Canis lupus familiaris: one gene and its partners. The protein of the gene in region 1 interacts with the protein of each later gene in a pairwise test. Links are inferred from orthologs where the notes say so. Each region holds a gene or a part of one and is shown in the gene's direction. Other genes may lie near its edges.

What was found.
Region 2: the proteins of CDK6 (region 1) and CCND2 interact in a two-hybrid assay, tested with the Homo sapiens proteins (2 studies listed by BioGRID, with this or other methods). The link is inferred for Canis lupus familiaris from reciprocal best matches to the Homo sapiens genes CDK6 and CCND2.
Region 3: the proteins of CDK6 (region 1) and CCND3 interact in binary tests that used the Homo sapiens proteins (3 or more experiments, as listed by UniProt). The link is inferred for Canis lupus familiaris from reciprocal best matches to the Homo sapiens genes CDK6 and CCND3.
Region 4: the proteins of CDK6 (region 1) and CDKN2B interact in binary tests that used the Homo sapiens proteins (3 or more experiments, as listed by UniProt). The link is inferred for Canis lupus familiaris from reciprocal best matches to the Homo sapiens genes CDK6 and CDKN2B.

Annotation. Positions count from the first base shown.
Region 1 is NC_049235.1:18,374,445-18,379,588, reverse strand, and holds the start of CDK6 (cyclin-dependent kinase 6), read left to right. Parts: upstream 1-1,929; 5' UTR 1,930-2,081; intron 2,082-2,714; exon of another isoform or gene 2,715-3,041; intron 3,042-3,321; exon of another isoform or gene 3,322-3,530; coding exon of another isoform or gene 3,531-3,657; exon of another isoform or gene 3,658-4,020; coding exon of another isoform or gene 4,021-4,673; exon of another isoform or gene 4,674-4,916; 5' UTR 4,917-5,144. Other genes in the region: uncharacterized protein LOC102152579, read right to left, coding at 3,531-3,657, 4,021-4,673. UniProt on the Homo sapiens protein: Serine/threonine-protein kinase involved in the control of the cell cycle and differentiation; promotes G1/S transition. Phosphorylates pRB/RB1 and NPM1.
Region 2 is NC_049248.1:5,497,649-5,502,702, forward strand, and holds the start of CCND2 (G1/S-specific cyclin-D2), read left to right. Parts: upstream 1-1,986; 5' UTR 1,987-2,297; coding exon 2,298-2,492; intron 2,493-4,301; coding exon 4,302-4,517; intron 4,518-5,054. UniProt on the Homo sapiens protein: Regulatory component of the cyclin D2-CDK4 (DC) complex that phosphorylates and inhibits members of the retinoblastoma (RB) protein family including RB1 and regulates the cell-cycle during G(1)/S transition.
Region 3 is NC_049233.1:10,783,542-10,786,734, reverse strand, and holds part of CCND3 (G1/S-specific cyclin-D3), read left to right. Parts: intron 1-1,690; coding exon 1,691-1,850; intron 1,851-2,407; coding exon 2,408-2,544; intron 2,545-3,069; coding exon 3,070-3,193. UniProt on the Homo sapiens protein: Regulatory component of the cyclin D3-CDK4 (DC) complex that phosphorylates and inhibits members of the retinoblastoma (RB) protein family including RB1 and regulates the cell-cycle during G(1)/S transition.
Region 4 is NC_049232.1:41,374,985-41,380,299, reverse strand, and holds the start of CDKN2B (cyclin-dependent kinase 4 inhibitor B), read left to right. Parts: upstream 1-2,242; coding exon 2,243-2,268; intron 2,269-2,304; coding exon 2,305-2,434; intron 2,435-3,933; exon of another isoform or gene 3,934-5,147; coding exon 5,148-5,315. UniProt on the Homo sapiens protein: Interacts strongly with CDK4 and CDK6. Potent inhibitor. Potential effector of TGF-beta induced cell cycle arrest.

The DNA of each region.
Region 1 (5,144 bases):
GGCTTACTATTTTTTAAACAAATTATTTACCCAAATAAATTCTTGCAGTCATTTGCTGGTTCCTATGACTATTTATTGACAATTATTTCTAAATTACATAAATGTGTAAATCACCAGCAAGTAAATCTTGTTTTAAAAATCATTGATAAATGTAGCAATTATAAAAAATGTAAGAGTCTCATTTGCATCTCTGGTTTAAAGTCTAATTAGTGATTTGTACTGAACCAATATTTTTCATAAATACAAAATCTAAATTTGTTTTCTTAAGTCTATATGGTTTATGAGTTTATAGATACCTTTACAAATTTTGTTCAGAAATTGAATTTTAGAAGACATGCTTCTAAACACAAAATGTATTTTATGAATTATCTTAAGCATAAAAAAACACAAATATCCACTTTTATCATTCAAGAACAAATTACTATAATGTATTATAAAATATTTCCTAATGAAAATGCAAAAATTTTAATTTGCCTAACCTGTTACTTCACACTGTAGTTGGAATTAATTTTATAAGGGCGAAATTTTGATTTACTCTGACATTGGGCAACATGGTTTAATTCAAAAAGTCAAAAAATTTATTGAGGTTAATATTTCCAATTCAAACAGTATTTCGCTGGATTTCAGTTCTTCTAGAGATCTGAAATAAATAAATGTTTTAACTTTGCTTTAAGATGTTTAAAAGGGTTTCAAGTATTCTACAGATACAGACTTTAGAGAACACTGGATTCTTAAAAAAACAAAAAAAAAAAAACAAAAACAGCTTTTTTGGGGGGAGGATTTACTCCTTTGCAGGGTCTTGAGGGCTTTTTTTTTTGTCAAAAATCTCATTTTCACCTGCAATAATTGTATTCAGGTTTTCTCAGCAGGTAAAGTATACATTCTTACAAGGTTTCAAATTTCAGAATTCCAATAATGCATTTAAACTGAGCACCCACTGAATCACGTTCTCTTCTCTTTGTTTGGGGTGTGTGTGTGTGTGTGTATCCATTATCTTGCAGTTCTGATATTTATATTAAATTTTAGTCTTTTTAGCTCCCCAGAAACACCTTAGTGAACCCTTAGCAATTGCTAACCACTTAATAATTGTGAACCCGCGAGCCCCTTCAAGTACGTCGTTAACCACAGAGTGCCTGACAATTTCCAAATCCTATCCTCTGTCCAAAAGGAAAAGATAGGGCTTTGTGAGGCCGAAAGGAAGCGAAGGAAAACAAAACAAATGTAGCTCATGCTGAAAGTGAAAAGTGCTTGGACAGATTAGTATTTTCTTTTCTGCAAGGCGCCCTGCCAGACTTTTTTTTTTTTTTTTTTTTTAAATAGAGAAGAGTTATTTTTTTGGTCTGATTTTTCAGTTTCTTGGAAAGTGTTGGTCTTTCCCACCCCCACCGGCCCCTCATAATTATGGTTGGTTGTTTTGTGTTTTTCCCACCCGGCCACATCACAGCCTGCTGGTCCCCCCGCCTCACTCTGTCAAAACCCCAACTCCCGGCGACCCTGGGTTTGGAAACTCCGCGGACTCCCGACGACACGTCCCACTCTCCCTCTCACGCCTCGTATTTTAGTTGCAAGATCCCTCGCTCCAGTTGCAGCGAAAGCCGGAAATTTTCATTTAACTGCCCCCCCCCCCCGCCGCCCTCCCGCCCCCCACTCGGAGCCGAGCGTTGGGGAGTGGAGACCCGGAGCACAGCCGGGCTCGCCGCCTCCCCTCTCTCCGGAAGGCTTTAATTTGCACACTTGCTTGCCTCGGCGCAGCGAGCCCCTAGCCCCGTCGCCGCCTCCGGGTGGGTCTCGGGCAGAGTCGGCCTGGGGGGGGGGGGGGCGCCCCCGCCCCGGCTCGCCCCGAGCCCCGGCCCGCGCCCCGCAGCCCCCGGCCGCCCCCAGCGTGCGGCGCGGGCGGCGCCCTCCGCCGTGCCTCCGCCGTCCCTCCGCCCTCCGCCGCTGTGCCCACCCCTTCGCGGGAGAGAGCGCCGCTACCTCCTTCCTCCGAGCCGGTTACCTGCTCGGCGCGCGGTGGACACGTGCGGAGGTCGCACAGACACTCGCAGCCCTCCCCGGAGGCCCGACGCGGCCGGGCCCCTCAGGTGAGGAGCAGTGCGGTCGGGTGGGTGGGCTGCGGGGTGGGGGGTCCCCGGGGGAGATTCGGGAGCTTGGCCGGGGTCGGAAGCGGGGGTGTGGGTGGAGGTGACTGTGGTGGGGGGTGTACGTCTTCGGAATCGGCTGTAGTTAACCCCTTACGACCCGAGGCGGGCTAGGGATGGGGACCAGTCCTGGGGAGTTAGAGGACTCTCTCCTAATCTGGCGAGGGAAGGACATCCCATACCAGGGACACCCCCCAACACTAAGATCCGGTGCTGCTCCCACACAGCCGTGCGCGCAAACACCCACGCACTCATCAGGCTCCTTAAAGCGGAATATAAACTCCGCTCGGACCCTCAAAGAATAATCTACCCTTTAGAGTTTAAAATGCACTGCCTCGGGGGGGACTCCATGCGGGACACTGTGCTTCCGTGCCCCACGTTCATTTCCCCACCGGAGCTCACTCTCCAGCTCGCGGAGGTGTGGGTGTGGCCTCCACCTTCTCCACCACGAGATCAATGTTAACGCAGGCTTCTTGCTGGAACCCCCTCCCCTGCGGGGGTGTTATGCACACTTAGAGGAGTGCACGCAGGCGGCCAGTGCACGGGCTTGGAGCCCCACAAGGACGCACGTTGGCGTTTAGCTTCCCAGTTTACTTTTATTAATTTGCAGTATCCGAGTTAGAACGCACACCCCGCGGTGAGCAGCGCCGGGCCCCGCAGCGCGCCCCACAGTGTGCACGTGGGGCTCATCTGCGTGTGCGCACACGCGGGAGTCGTGGTCCCCGTGCGGCCTCTTGTCGCTGCGCTGGTGGCGACCCTTGCGGTGCTTGGCAGGCTTCGGGAGAGGCACATGAAGGATTTCATTGAGTGTGAAGACAGAGAGCAGAGACAGAAAGCAGAAGGAGGCGGCTGCAGCCTTTGTAGTCGCGGAGGAATGCGGAAATGTTGAAGCACTATGTCAAACTTTTTTGAAATGGGGTCAAGTCACATTCAGCCAGCGTGGGAAAGCAACAACAACAACAAAAAAAAGTGGAGGAGAGGGGGGGAAAAGGCACTGTTGCTCCCGTTTCTCTCCGCCGGAGCCGACGGTCCGGGGAGCGGGGGGGAGGGGGGAGCCTGGGCGGGCGGTGCGGGGCCGGGCGGGGGCAGCGGGCGCAGCTCCCTGCGGGGGTGGGACGTCCGCGGCGCTGCCGGAGCTGCTGAGCCTCCGGTCGGACTGCGGCGGGGAGGGGGATGCGGGAGGGGCGGGCGGGCGGCGCGGCCGGCGGCTCCGCGGCTACCTGTGTGGCCCTAGGCCTGGCTCGGACCCCCGCGCAGGCTCTTGGGGGGCTCAGTCCTTTCTCCCCCGGGACTCGCCTTTACCTTTTAAGGAGAGCTTTGAATGGAGTGTGAGGGGCCCTGCGCTCGCTGCGGTCCCCTCTGCCAGCACGCCGTGGGGATCGCGCCATTTGTTTAACTCCTGGCAGGAGGCGAGCGGCCGGCGGTGCGGGGCAGGTAATTCCGAGGTGTCCCGGGGATTCCAGACACGCGGCCGGCGTGGCGAATGTACCGCCGAGGCCGCGGCGGCCCTGGATTACGACTGAATGGGGAGGGGAAAGCGTGTCCCTACCCTGCCTCCCCACCCCCGCACTGTGTTGTGCGGAGGGCCCCGAGCGGGGTCGGGGGGTCGGGGGGCGCGTTTGGCCCCTGCCTGATGAGACCAGGCCTCGAGCGGAGGGAGGAATGGAGCAGCCACCTCTGCAACTTCAGATCCAGAAGATCTGGAGAAGTTCCAGGGAGTGGGGAAAGGTTCGGAGTCCCGGCGCCCAGGGCGCAGCCCCTTCTCTCTCACCCCCGAGGCTTGGCATTTACTCCTCCCACCCCCAACCTTTTTAAGAGGAGGTTGGGTTTTGATGAGGTTGAAATTAGTTGAGGATTTCAGGGCGAGTCGCGGTTACGCTACCTTCCTCCCGCAGTTACTCTCTCAGGAGATGACAAGCCAAAGTGCGACGAATAACCCGTCCTCCCACCCTTACGGTCCTTTGGGCGACTCCCCCCTCTGGGGCCCCACCGCTCCTCCACTCCCGAGTAGCGGGAGCCCCAGCCCTCCCCGACCTCATGGGTTTCCACCAGGGAGGTCCTCCGAGTCGGAGGAAGAATTTCGTTTCCAGTCCAGACTTCTTTACCCCAAAAAGACCATTTGTGTGTGCAAGTCGTTTTTAAATGTCTCCTCGCAGAAAAACTGAAAGTAGAAAGAAAGGAAGCAATTTCCCAGCAGATGTCTGACCACCCCTCCTCGCACACTCCCAGCATCGGGTTACAGGGTCCCGGGAGCCCCCACCCACATTCGGCAGCCCCACACGGGTGGACCCACAGCCCCTCCACAGCAGCTTGGGCACAACCCCCGAAAGCCCCACGGCACCCCGGAGCCCCTCTCCCTGCACGCCCAGGCCCGGGGGGGCGGGGTGGGTAGCAGTGCAACACAATGATGTAGGGATAAATATTAAGCCGTGACATTGACGTGCCCGGCACCTCCCCTCCCCCGCGCTCCCGGCACACTCTGGGCTGCTCGGCACGCCCCCTCCCGTTCCACTGCGTCCCGCGCCGCGCGCTCATCCCCGAGGGGCCCCTGCAACCTCTCTGCGCGAAGACGGCTCCAGCTCTGCAGGGAAAGAAAAGTAACTTCGCTTTTCTCGGAGGAACCAGGAAGGATTAAGCAGCCTGGGAGAGGGCAGGAGCGCGCCGAGGGTAGCGATGGGGGCTCTATGGAGTAGGAGGAGGGGAGTCTGCGGGAACTCGGAGGAAGGCGCCCGGGATGTCTGATTGCACTTTTTCTTGTCCTCCCGTCTCTTCTTTTAGGTGGAAGGCTTGTGGACTGAGACGCGCAGGGGTAGAGACTATGTAATCGCTTCGGTGTCTGTGCAGAGGACTGCGCTTCGGGGAGGGAAGAGGAGGGATCGGCTCGCTCCTTGGCGACTCGGCAGGCGGAGTTTCGCGGCGGCACCGGGGTTGCGCCCGCCCGCGGGGAGGTCGCTCCATCCAGCCCCAGCGGCCGCGAGAACCCGAGCGCCGGAGCGCGGTAGTCGG
Region 2 (5,054 bases), on another chromosome or scaffold:
TTCTTCTTCCCGAAAGCTAATGGCTTCCACAGCAATTAGACTTTTTCTTCGCCGCCCCCTTCCCTCCCCTTTCTTTACCTACGGTAGATTGGATCCTAATTCCCTCGGCCATTGATAAGGTCGCAGGCGCCCCGGCCTCTCCCCGGCCCTCGCCCGCCCCAGTCCCCGCGCTCCCTCCGCCCTCCCTTGGCTTCCTTTTGATGTAGCGGGGAACGCGTCCTACTAAAAAAAAAAAAAAAAAAAAAAAAAAAAAAAAAAAAAAAAAAAAAGAAAAAAGTAATCTGCCCGGTAACAATCAGCGCGCAGTAGCAGGAGCCCCAGAGCTATTGGCTATGCAAATAGAGGGAGGGGAGACGGCGCCCCAAACTCTTACTCACCCTTTTAAAGCGATATCCCCCCCTTCCCCCCCACCCCTTCCGCCCCACCCTCGTTTAAAGGGGCTGGCCTCGGGGCCCGAGTTAATCGCTAGCACCTCTGGTTTATTCACTCCCCGCCTTCCCTATTCCACTCCCCCCGCTCCTTTCAGGGAACCGAGTGTACAGCTCACCCAGCCCCCCCTCCCCGCCAGCTCTCCACACCCCGGTTCGGGCCCCCGGCCTCCGCGAAGGAGGCGCTCGGTTGACCACGGTGTGTCCCGAGCCCTGACCCACGCCATGCTCCCTGCACGTGCCAGCTCCGCCAACTTGCCGGGGGCGCTGGGCTCTCTCCCCTTCCCCCCCAAGTGAAATTACACTGAAACCCGGGGGAGGGGGGCGGGGGGGGAGGAAGAAGGTGAGGAAACGCCACCATATCCCCTGTAAAAGCAGCCTTGACCCGGGGATGCGTTAGAGCACATGTCGGAGCCGACTGCGCTGGCAGCGTCCCCACCGCAACCCGGCTCCCGGGGAGAAAGCCCTGGCTGGCGGGTGAGGCATGAACCCGGAGGGGTCGGCGAGGATGCCAGCGGAGGACACAGGATGGAAGTCTCGGGCCTCCGAGGAAAGGAAGGGGTGGTGTTGTTTGCGCAGGGGGAGAGAGGGGGAGCCAAACCTAATCCCTCCCTCGCCCCCCTCTCCTCCCCTCCCCCTCCCGGGCTATTTCCTAGAAAGCTGTATCAGTGTGGCCACGCTCGGCGCAGACACCTCGGGCGGCTTGTCAGCAGATGCAGGGGCGAGGAAGCGGGTTTTTCCTGCGTGGCCGCGGGCCGCGGAAGAACCGATGGTAGCCCTGCCCCCCCCCCCCCAGCCTGCGGCAGCCCAGACCTCTTCTCTCCTGCTCCCCGTGGCGCCTGTAGCGCCCCCAAGAAGGGGAGGGTTTCTGCTTCAGGGTCACATTCTATCACGTCGGAGAAGCCGCCCCCTCCCTCCTAACACCCACCCCTTCCTCTCCTTCCTCTTCGCACACACAGGCGGGGTGGGGTGGGGGGGCGTTGTTCTGGCCCCTTTAATCGGGCTTTTGAAACAGCCCGAAGTGATCCAGGAGCTCAAACGTCCGGGACAGAATCTTTATCTCTGGATATCCGAGGTTGCTATTTTCTAAAATCGCCCTCCTTATTCTTCACTTAAGGGATCTGCTTATAAATTGCAGGAGCCCACCCCATCTTCAAGTGATCCACTCGTCATTCTCGGATCTTACATGCATGGGCAGGAATGGAAAGGTCAATTTTGAGAAAGCCAAAGTTGGAGGGTCGTACTTGGCACGATACGCCCACAGAATGTGCGAAATTAGAGGGAATAAGTAGGAATCGGTGGGGTTTTTTTGTGGGTTCCCCTATTCGGGGCCCCTGGCATGCAGGGCTGGATAGAGGGAAAGGGCCTCGGAGAGCTAAGGAGAGGGGTGGGGGGGCGGGGGACCGCGTTTGAAGTTAGGTCGGGCCAGCTGCTGTTCTCCTAAATAACAAGAGGGGAAAGGGAGGGAGGGACGGAGAGATTGAAAGGAGGAGGGGAGGGACGAGAGGGGAGGGAAGGGGAGGAGGAACCGGAGAGGGGAGCGAGGCGAGAGGGAGGAGAACTAACTGCCCAGCCAGTTTGCGTCACTGCCTCGCAGAGCAGAGAAGAGCGAGCAGGGGAGAGCGAGACAAGTTTGAAGGGGAGGGCAGGCAGAGTTAGCAGCCCCCGAGGCTCTCCTCTCCCAGCGCCCTTCCCTCTCCTCTCTTCTCCCCAGCCTCTGTCTCTCTCTGCCCCATAACTTTTCTCTCGAAAACCCCCTATTTAGCCAAAGGAAGGAGGTAAGGGGAACCCTCTCCCCTCCCCCCTTCAAAACCCCCCAACTTTTCCAGTCCGGAGAAAGCAGGGGAGCGAGCGGGTACCCGACTGGCCATGGAGCTGCTGTGCTGCGAGGTGGACCCGGTCCGCAGGGCCGTGCCGGACGCCAACCTGCTCTACGACGACCGCGTTTTGCAGAACTTGCTCACCATCGAGGAGCGCTACCTTCCCCAGTGCTCCTACTTCAAATGCGTGCAGAAGGACATCCAGCCCTACATGCGCAGGATGGTGGCCACCTGGATGCTGGAGGTAGGTCTGCAGACGGACTCCGTCTGTCCCCATCCGGATAGACGCCCACGCTCCCCACCCCCGCCCCCAGCGCAGGGACCCTAAAACTGGGAGATGGCAGGATCCGCGCTCGCCTCCGCACTCCCGCGCGCGAGGTTACCCCTCGCCCTTTGGCGAGACGCGTGGCTTCATTTCTGTTCCCTGCAGGATGCTAGAAGAACTGGGGGAGGGGAGGGGGGGAGGAGGAAAATCTGGGAGAAACGAGACTGTCCTGGGGCGGGGGTGGGGGAGCATCCCGCGCGCGTGTGCCTGCATGTGGCTGCCTCTTCTTCCCACCCCCATCCTGATCTGTCTTTTGCGAAGCTGCGGCTGCTTTCGGTGCAGTGAAGCTGGGAGTGGGAGCGTGGAATCGGGGCCCCAAAGTAAAAAAGAGCAGCCCCCCAAAGGCCAGAGCAAAATCGTCCTAGCCTCAGGTCCCCGCATGTGGTTGCGACTCCGCGTTGGCACTTGGGGGGGGGGGGGGGGAGGAGGGGGGGAGGAGAGAGGAGGAGAGAAACGGAGAATTCAGGAGCCCCGGAAGTCGCAATGAAGAAACGTGTGTTTTAGGGGAACCCAAAAGAACCACTTCTTTACCCTTGCTCCAAATCTTTGCCGAGCGAGCCGTGTGCCCACGTATGCACGGCTCTGGACCTGCCGTGGTTTCGCCATGTTGCTTTGCAAACTCCGGCTGGAAAGGCTGGAAAGCGTTGCCCGCTCGCCCCCCGCACCCCGTTAGCCCGGCCCCCCCACTTGCAATAGTACCCTCTCCCCCAGCCCCCACCTCACGAAGGTTACTTACAGTTTGGCTTTCCAGTTTTCTCGGTGCGGAGATTTGGGTGGGGTAGGAAGGGGGGAGGAGGTGTGTGTAGGGGGGATGTCGGGGCGCCCCCAACGGAGAGGTCAGAGCCCCGGGTGCTCTCCGGCGGCGCCCCGCTCCTCGCCTTTCCCCCGGCTCCTCACCACGGTCCCCGGTTTCTGCCCTTGCGGGCCGCAGCCGGACGGACACTCCCGCCGCGGCGCTCACCCCTCCAACTTTCCCCTCGGGATCCAAAGCCCCAGGGGTTGAGATACAGACCTTTCCGGCACCCGAAATCTCCGTTTCGGGAAGCCTGGTTCCTCTGTGGGGTTTTCACGCCAAAAGGGCTTTTCTAGGATATTTCCTCGATTTTTAATTATTTTTTGAAACCGTCTCCCCAGGCTCCGAGTCCGCCGCCGAGGCTGCGGCTCTTCCTCTTCTCCTCCCTCCCCCTCTCTTCCCCACCTCTCCCCACCCACCCCCCCAATAGCGGCGCCTGGGCCGCAAGGACGCCCCCGGACATTTTTTTCAATTGTCGGGAATGATAGAGCAGGGTCCGGGGCTCCGAATGAGACCAAGAAGAAGACCCCCGGAGCCTCCAGAATATTTTTATTGATTTTTTGAAAAGATGACGAAATCCAAAAAAGAGAGTGTGAGTGAGTTAGAGGGAGCAAAGAAGTCAGTAGCCAAAGGGAGCGTCGCCGAGCCTGGCGGCTACTGCGCATTTGTTTGCCTCCTCGGTTCGGATCTTCAGTTCAACTCTCTCTTACGTTCCTGGGGAGTACCCCAGCACCGACCATTTAGATTTACCCCGTTTTCCTCATCTTTATTCTTATCACATAGTCTACTCCCCTCCCCCTCCCCGCTGAAAAATTAAATATTTTTGCTTCTTTCCATAGGTTATGCCTTTTCATTTCTTTTTTTGTGTATGTGTGTTTTCCTGATATTCTTCCCTCCAACCACCCCCACCCAACCCATTCCCGCTCCCATCTTAGGTCTGTGAGGAACAGAAGTGCGAAGAGGAGGTCTTCCCTTTGGCCATGAATTACCTGGATCGCTTCTTGGCCGGGGTCCCAACTCCTAAGACCCATCTGCAGCTCCTGGGTGCTGTCTGCATGTTCCTGGCCTCCAAACTTAAAGAGACTATCCCTCTGACCGCAGAGAAGTTGTGCATTTACACTGACAACTCCATCAAGCCTCAGGAGCTGCTGGTAATGACAATCTCCTTTCTATTCCTCCTTCCTTCTTTGCTCTCTCCAGGCCTGGCGAGCTTCTACCTCCTGCTCCCCAAACAAATCCTTTGGATCCCAAATTACCACACTGCTGGAATTTTCACACTTCCCGGAAATAACGCTTTAAATACAAATTTTTTTTGTGTGTGTTCCTACTGTGTGCCAGGCACTATACTAAGCACTGAGGCTACATCCAGGAATAAGATACCCAGATACCCCAAGACATTTGTTGTGTCGGTGAAATTCAATTACAGTTGTGCCTGTGTGTGTGTGTGTGTGTGTGTTTGTGTGTGTATGTGTGTGTAGGGGAAACCTGGAACACAGTGATAACATTTTAATTAAATTCAAATTTTCATCCACTGAATTCTAAGAAAATAGTTCGACTTCTCACATGGTAGGAATGTGCCCACATGATAGGAGTGTGTTGTCCTGTGTGTCCTAAGAATCTACAGTTCAAAGGTAACATCAATGGATAAACTCTCAAGATACCTGTACATAGTAGCTGTTAACTAAATA
Region 3 (3,193 bases), on another chromosome or scaffold:
TGGCAAGTCTGAAGGTGGAGCCGGTTTCCAGGGCCAGTGAGCAAGATGTTTTTGGAGGGTTTGGGCTGGAAGGTAGAAGGGGACTTCCTTTTTGTGAAAAGACTGGCATGGTGTGTGTGCCTTTGTGCGAGGGGAGTTTTTTTAGAACAGGCCACAAGGACTCTTCCTCCACTCCCTCTGCGTGAGCTGGGGGGTGGAGTGTGCAGATGCCTTCCTGGAAGGTCAGAGTTGGAAGGGACTGCAGAGAACTCTAGTCAGTCCAAATCCTTGTTTAGCAGAGGAGGTTGAGGCCCAGAGGAGGGAAGCATTGCACTGAGGCACATGAGGAGCCTCCGGGTCCTCTAGGCTAGCCCCGGTGGCCTTAAAGCCTACAGATGTGGAAGCCGCCAGCCACTGCCGCTAATCGCTCCCAGGGGTATGTCCTCCACCAGGTGAGGGCTAAGATTTTCAGGAGTTGCCTGGACACAGGGTTGGGTGGCTACCTTTCCTCACATGGGACCCCATGCCTCCACTCCAGGTTGCCTTCCAGATGTTTCTTTGGAGGCAAGGTGCTTTCTGTTCACTTCTTACAAGTTGAGGCACTGGGACAAGCATGACTAGAATGCTGGCTTCTCTGTCCAACTTCTTTTGGCTCCAGGCCAGGCTCTTTTCTGTAGGGCCCTGTGAGGGGCTTGGGGCTGATTTGGGAAGATGACACCTAGGTGGGGGCCAAGAGAGGGACAGCTGTGACTAGGGACCTGGAAGAAGCGGGGCGGGGTTGCCATTCTGCCTCAGTAAGGGGCCAAACCCATGAGTTCCTTCCTGAGATAAAACAATGAAGAAATCCTCATATGTGTTAACTCAGAAAAGGGGCCAGGACTAGGAACCCCAGATGCGTGGATTGGGGTGGGGCTCCTAGCCTCCCTCCAGGACCTAGCAGTGCTATGTAGGTGTGGGCCATGAGCCATTGGAGATAGAGTTTGGTCCCTCAGGGATCATCTGGACCCATCCTGTCTGGCTTGGCATCCACTTTGCTTCCTGAGACTTAAATGACACTAGCCACTATGGTTCCAGGTAAAGGGGGTGGAGTGGGGTGCTACATCTCAGGCCCACCCCCAGTGTCCCACCAACGGGATGTGGGTTGGGTTGGGCAACCTCCCCCTTTGAGGAACCTCAGGCTTGGTTCAGTGGCTGTGTCACAGGAGGTGGGGCCTCATGTTCATTCCGGTTTCTTCAAGGGGTGTGGCCTTGGCAGGGATGCAGAACTGGAGAGGCTATGGTCTCCCCTTTCACAAATCCTTGGGATTACGAAGAGTCTTTCTGCTTCACCCCAGAGGAGGCTCAAGGTGATGATGCTGCTGGTGGTTTTTATTTTCAACTCTGGCTGGAGAAGTGCCCAGAGCTCTGTGTGAAGTCAGGAGAAGACCTGGATTGTTGGCCCCCGGAAGATAACCAAACGGGATTGAAAAGGACAGTTTATATCAAATGTGTAGTTCTGATACTTTGTAAATAAGCAGTAGATGCCCAAAGCAGACACCCCCAGTTTTTCTGTGCTCTGGACTCCTCATGTCACAGCACCAGTCTTTAAATCCAGAAGCAGAACTGGGGGCTTGACCTTCAAGTCTGGTGGGTTTCCTTCCGTGAGACTTCTGCTTTACTCCCTTCCCTTCCCTCCTCAGCCACTGACGCCACCCTCTTTCCCAACCTCTAGGACTGGGAGGTGCTGGTCCTGGGGAAGCTCAAGTGGGACCTGGCAGCTGTGATTGCCCATGATTTCCTGGCTCTGATTCTGCACCGGCTCTCTCTGCCCCAGGACCGACAAGCCCTGGTCAAAAAACATGCCCAGACCTTTTTGGCCCTCTGTGCCACAGGTAAGAGCCCCGCACACTTTTGGCAAGTGAAGAAAATCCAAGGACTTGGAAGGGTGGCATGTAACTAGATTTTGAGTTAGATTCCTTTCAAAATTTGGGTTAGACTCTTCTCAAAATATCCCCTCTGAGATGAGGGGGTGCAGAAAAGGCAGCAGAACATAATCAGAGTTGTATGGGATTTGACAGACCCCCCATTATGTAGGTGGCTTAGAGAAAGGACTTGCTCACGGTCTCACAGTGATTAAGCTGGGAGCAGAACCGAGGGCTTTCTGACCCTGGTTTTATTTTCTTGCCAGGAAGACTCATTCACTCCTCGGTCCCTGGCTTGGCTCACTTCCCAACCACCCTGGGCCTGAGGACCTGTGGAAGTTTGTGGTCCACCCTGGCCCTCTCTAGGAGAGGCCCTTTCCTGCCTCTCTCCCTTGCTGCTCCTCCAGAGCTCACTGCAGGGAGTTCTCAGTATGCCCCCTGCTCTATTCCAGCTGCCTGGCACTTTCTGAGCAATAGGAAGTCCACGCTAAGCCTTTCTCTCATGATTCCCTCTCCCTCCTTCCAAGATTACACCTTTGCCATGTACCCGCCATCCATGATCGCCACAGGCAGCATTGGGGCTGCAGTGCAAGGCCTGGGTGCTTGTTCCACATCTGGGGATGAGCTGACGGAGCTGCTGGCAGGGATCACAGGCACTGAGGTGGTGAGTGTGGGGCCCCTGGGCTGCAGCCTGTGAGCAGTTCCTGAAGCAGTGCTATTCCCGGAGCCTCCAGCAGAGGGAGGCATGCATCCCTAACCTAGTCCCTGCTCCTGGTTTCAGGTGCCCCGCCCTTGGGGCTTCTGTGGCCTTTTATCTCCTGCCTTGGTCTGGAGAAGAGCAGGTGACTTGGGTGGGCTGAAGGGCACTGTCCCTGGGTGCCCTTTTCCTGCCAAATGGTGTGCAGGGGTGGGGTGGAGGATCTGCTGTCACATGCAGGGCTGCTCTCACACCCCCTTGCCACATCCTCTTGCCAGTTTCTTAGAACTAAAGGCTGATTCCTGGGGCTGGGCTGTGGCTTAACCTCCCCAGACTTCCCTGTGTGCTGGAAGGTGTCCTTCCTCCACACCTGTGGCCAGATGCTGTGGGGGTGGGAAGTGAGCCCTCAGTCCCAAAGGGGACCTTCTGCCATCCTACCCAGCAGTCACTCCTTACCATCCCCTACCCCCACCTCCACCCCCGTGTTTGCAGGACTGCCTGCGGGCCTGTCAGGAGCAGATTGAAGCTGCGCTCAGGGAGAGCCTCAGAGAAGCCGCCCAGACCTCGCCCAGCCCGGCGCCCAAAGCCCCCAGGGGCTCCAGTAGCCAGGGGCCCA
Region 4 (5,315 bases), on another chromosome or scaffold:
ATTTCTGGGTAGCCAGGCTGTTCTGATGAAGATATTCTGGACTGAATCCATTTGCTACCACATCTACCAATATCAGTCTGATGACTCAGCCCCTCAGAATGATTACCAAAGAACCAAGGCCATCCATTTCAAAACTCTGACTTCCCACTTCCCATATTTCCTCCTCATTCTCTCATTCTACCAACACACCTGTAATCCCCAATACACGGTGAATGGGGACTGTCCCCAAAGACTGGTCATAAACAGCTCATCTATGCTTTTCAAACACAAGTAGACTTCTAGCCAGACCAAGGAATGGAGCCACTATCAACAAATAAGGGGGCTTTTCTTATTCAGATAAGAGTGAACGTCCAAATAAGAGGGAAAGATAGAGAAATCAAGAAACTGAAAACTAAGAAATGGGGATGGGGCAAGAGAGAGGGGGAAAATGGTTATTAATGCTGCCTCCTTCCCTTCCCTATCCGGGTGGATTTCAACTCTGTCTCAGTTAGTAGCTCTTCACTCCTAACCACCACTTCCATAGGCTCCTCTGTCTTTAAAGAGCTTAGGTCCAAGCTAAGGTATGCTAGAAGAAACATGTGAAATAAACTCTCATTTATGAGTAAGCAAGCAATTGCCCTTCCTTAAAGACTCTTCCTCTGCACTCTGAACCAAAATTAATCTTGTAAATAAGAACTGCTCCATGTTGGAAGAAGCTCAGTCTAACGTAGCTCCTCACCAAAACTTTCAGGCAACAGATACATAACTTGTGGTTCTTTTCCTATTTCAATCAAACATCAGCTGTAATTTCTTAAAATCTTTAAAGCAATGCATATGTTAATTCAAACTCACCTAAGCAGATTGGGAAGAAAAGCAATTGGCCTTTAAATCTTCAGAAGAGGGTTTAATGACAGGTTCAGCCCGTTTAATGACAGGCCCAGCACCACACCCCTGTTTTATTATGTTTCATTATTACTGCATAAATTTCCTTTATTACTCATCATAAATAAAAACCAAATGCTTGCAAAGTGGGTTTAAATAGGTAAGAGTGCAAACAAAAATATTATTCAAACATCATGAAATTGGAATCTCAGATTCTTAAAATACATATTCATATTTTTTAAATGTCTCAAAAACACCAGCTTGCCATTGTCAATCTCAAACTAGGTTTTTGGGGGGTTTTGTGTGTGTGCGCGCGCGCGCGCGCGTGTGTACCCATTATTCAAAGATGAAAAGAATAAAAAGCACATTCAAACAGGATTCTCAGGATTTTTCACCGTGACTGATTTTTGACTGATTCAGCTAAGAAGACACACCCAAAAGAAATTTGCTAAGGTTGATGCAAGATGTGAAGCTAGAGAAGTTCAAGTACTGCCTGGGGATGAATTTAACCTGCGTGACAGGTGCAAAGCTGTCACTTTCAGAAATCTTGAGGGAGACAAAGTTATTTTAAAAGCCTTTCTCTTAGCCAGCCATTCGATCACACAAGAGAGAGACTAACGTCTCTCCGGCGTGAAAGCAGCCGGCACGGGGCTCAAGGAACAGAAACCCTCTGCTCCGCCTGCTGGAGGGAGGGGATTAGGAACTGAGCGCGTTGCTTCAACTTTTCCAAAACCTTAGCTGAGGCCTTGCAGGACGCTCGGCGGGCGGGACTGCAGGCTGCGGGCGCCCCGAGTCCGGCGCATGCGTCCCAGCGCCGTCCGCGCCGCCCTCCCCGCCCCCCCCCCCCCCCGCCCCCCCCGCCCCCCCCCGCCCCCCGCCCCGCCGCCCGGACTCCGTCGGCTGTGACGTCACTGCGGGCCGAGCCTCCCCGCCCGCGCAGTGGGACGCGCCCGCGCAGGCCGGCCGGGCCGGGGGCGGAGCCTAAGGGGGTGGGGAGTGCCCTGCCCGGCCCGGCCGCCCGGCCGCAGACGGGTTCAGTCCGTGCGGGCTCTCCGCCTAGCCGGAGCCACGCTGGGCGGTGTGGACGCGGCGACGCGCCTGCCCTCGGCGGCCGGACGCGCCCTGCGCTCGGCTGCGGCCACCCGAGGCGCTTCGTCCCGGGAGCGAGCCCGGGAAAGCCTATTCACCACGAGGGGCTCGGCCATTGCCCGGGCCCCCAAGCCGCGGAGGACGGCGGAAGAGGGCTGAAAGCTGACCTGAGCTCTCCTCCCGAGGGGAGAGGGCGCCGGGACGAGGAGGGGAAACAGGGAGGCGAGTGACGAAGCTCCGCTCACGGCCCGCGGTGGATCCTCCCGGCCCGTCCGCGTCTGCGGGCTGCGAGATGCGCGAGGAGGCCACGGGCTTGCTCGGCGGCGGCGGCGGCGGGGACGGCGGCGGGGACGGCGGCGGGGACGGCGGCGACGCGGGCCTGGCCAGCGCCTCGGCGCAGGGGCAGGCGGAGACCGTGCGGCAGCTCCTGGAAGCCGGCGCGGATCCCAACGGAGTCAACAGCTTCGGCAGGCGCCCGATCCAGGTAGCTGGGGCCCCGGGGCCTCGCCGGCAGGGGGCGCAGGAACGCAGGGGAGCGGCCTCCGTGGGACGCGACGGGGACCGAGAGCTTCGCCGACGTATCTGCGTGTCTCCTCCGTGAGGCCGTGGGGCCCAGGTGTCGCGCAGGTTCTCCCCCACCGACGATCCTAAAGAAAGGGATCGGAAAAAACAAACAAACAAACAAACAACAAACGCTACTTAAGTTTGGTTTTCTTTGCAGCGGTGGGGAAATGTCCATACTCTCTCTCCCGTCCCGTGATCACAAGTGCAAGGGATAGATTCAGTTGGGGGAAGAGGAGAGGTTGTTTGGGGAGGAAAACTCTCGACTCTCTTTCAATAAATATCGATCAACTTTCATTGATAAGAGATGATTAAACGGCAAGTTACACAATCCGAATTAGATTTAAGGAATAATGCGGAATCGTTGAACTTGAATTACCTGCACTGGGAGGCTGCGATATGAAACTCTTCGTATTCTTTTCTCATAGAGGCAAAATGAATACAAAGAGATAAGCCAGGATTCCTCGACCACAGTACTTAATTCCTTTTACGTTAGCAGTGTTCATTGTTAACACCCTTTATCCAATGTTTATTAATCCAGCTTTAATTAGTACTGATATTTTTTAATTCCCTTAAAATTCAAAGTAATATTTTGTGCCTTATTGTTGACTATAGTGGTTAGTATTCATCTCGATGTCACATTCTAGAACCAATCTGTTATTAAGGAACCCTATTAATCGTGTAGGTTTTAAAAGAAAATATGTTCATTCCTTTTGCATTCTTAGAAAAGTGTTATAAGACTTGAGGGATAGCTTAGGGGCATCTGGGTGGTTAAGTCCCTTAAGCGTCTGCCTTGGGCTCAGGTCATGAGCCCTTCCCTGGTCCTGGAGTTGAGCCCAGCATCAGGCTCCAGGCTCTACAGGGCGGCTGCTTTTCCCTCTCCCTCTGTCCCTCCTCCCTTGTGGGTGCTCTCACAAATAAATAAGTGGATAAAATCTTTTAAAAAGAGTGAAAGAGGGCAGCCCGAGTGGCTCTGCGGTTTAGCGTCGCCTTCGGCCCAGGGCCTGATCCTGGAGACCTGGAATCGAGTCCCACGGTGCGCTCCCTGCATGGAGCCTGCTTCTCCCTCTGCCTGTGTCTCCGCCTTTCTGTGTCTCTCATGAATAAATAAATAAAATCTTTTTAAAAAAATAAATAAAAAAGAGAAAGAAATGAGGGATAATTTAAGATTTCAAATGATATTAATAACTAAAAAGAAATTTTAATTATAGTTTTAATTCATTTTCTGAGATTCTAAGAACCACTTTTTTCCCCTCTACATATGAAATACCTTACATACATCACTAATAGAAATAACATATCATATCTTTAAGGGAGGAAATGGATGTTTTTAATATTCATGAAACAAATAGTATACTATCTTTCAATTACGTAGTACATCTTAAAATACTTAAACTCACAAGAAAAACTCCATTTTGGATATTTAGTTATCAAAAACTGTTTTATTTTTAAAATGAGAAAGTAAATACTTGTATAAAATGCATATACAAAAGTAGATGCTACAGAAGTACAGCTCCAGAACATTTTTTTCTAAGTTATACATTACTCTGATTTGACTGACAACCAAGTTCTTTTATACATAGCAAATTATTTACTATCTAACATTATAAAATCCTATGACATTATAAAATCCTGAATAATGTAAATATACTGTTTATGTTACATGTTTATGTTACATTAAATATATTATCCTTTAAACTTTATCCCTTGCCAGGGCACCTGGATGGCTCAGTGGTTGGGCCTCTGATCCGGGTCCTGGAATCACATCCTGCATCCGGCTCCCCCGCAGAGAGCCTCTGCTTCTCCCTCTGCCTTTGTCTCTGCCTCTCTCTGTTTCTCTTGAATAAATAAATAATCTTAAAAAAAAAACTTTATCCCTTAAAATATTAAACATGTTATAATGTTAACTTAAAATATTAAAAATGATAAGCCATTTGTTAAAAAAATAACTTCATTATCTTATAAGACTAGATATGACTTTTTTCCTTTTTCCCCCTCTATATCCAATTTGGACTCAAAATTGTCTGACTATATTCAATTTATAAGCACAGATATATATGAGAGTGAAAAGTAAAAGCCTCCAACAGGGAATTTATTAAAAGAAATAAAAAACTCAAAGCACTATTTCTCCTCTAACGCCTCTCTTAAAAATATCAACTGCCTAATAAATATTTTTAGAGCTAGATTATGGCTGAGGTGGGAGAGCCACCAAGAGAAATAATCTTAAGATTTTAAAAGCTTTTAAACTTAACTCCCCCCATAAATCATTTAACAAAATAGATGCCCATGTTCCAAGGGAAACCAAAAATTTCTTTTTCGCACAACGACTCTTAGCGCTTTCTATCAGCGCTTTCTCGTCTCCGCGTGTTTGGAGAATAAGATGGAACTCAGAGCCGAATAAGGAGTATAACTGGGGCGGGGGCGGGGGCGGGGCGAGGGCGAGGGTGAGGGTGAGGGTGAGGGGTGTTGGGACTGCATCAACAAAGTATAACGGACTCCTGAGGCTTGTAGCGCCTCTGTGTTAGGTGGATACTTCCTGAATAGGTATTTCTTTGAAATGGTCCACCTGTCCCTGCCCAGGCCTGCATCCCGCTGCCCTGACCACTGCCGCCCTGACCACTCTGCTCTCCCGGCAGGTCATGATGATGGGCAGCACCCGCGTGGCCCAGCTGCTGCTGCTCCACGGCGCCGACCCCAACTGTGCCGACCCCGCCACCCTCACCCGCCCTGTGCACGACGCGGCCCGGGAGGGCTTCCTGGACACGCTGGTGGTGCTGCACCGAGCCGGGGCGCGGCTGGACGTG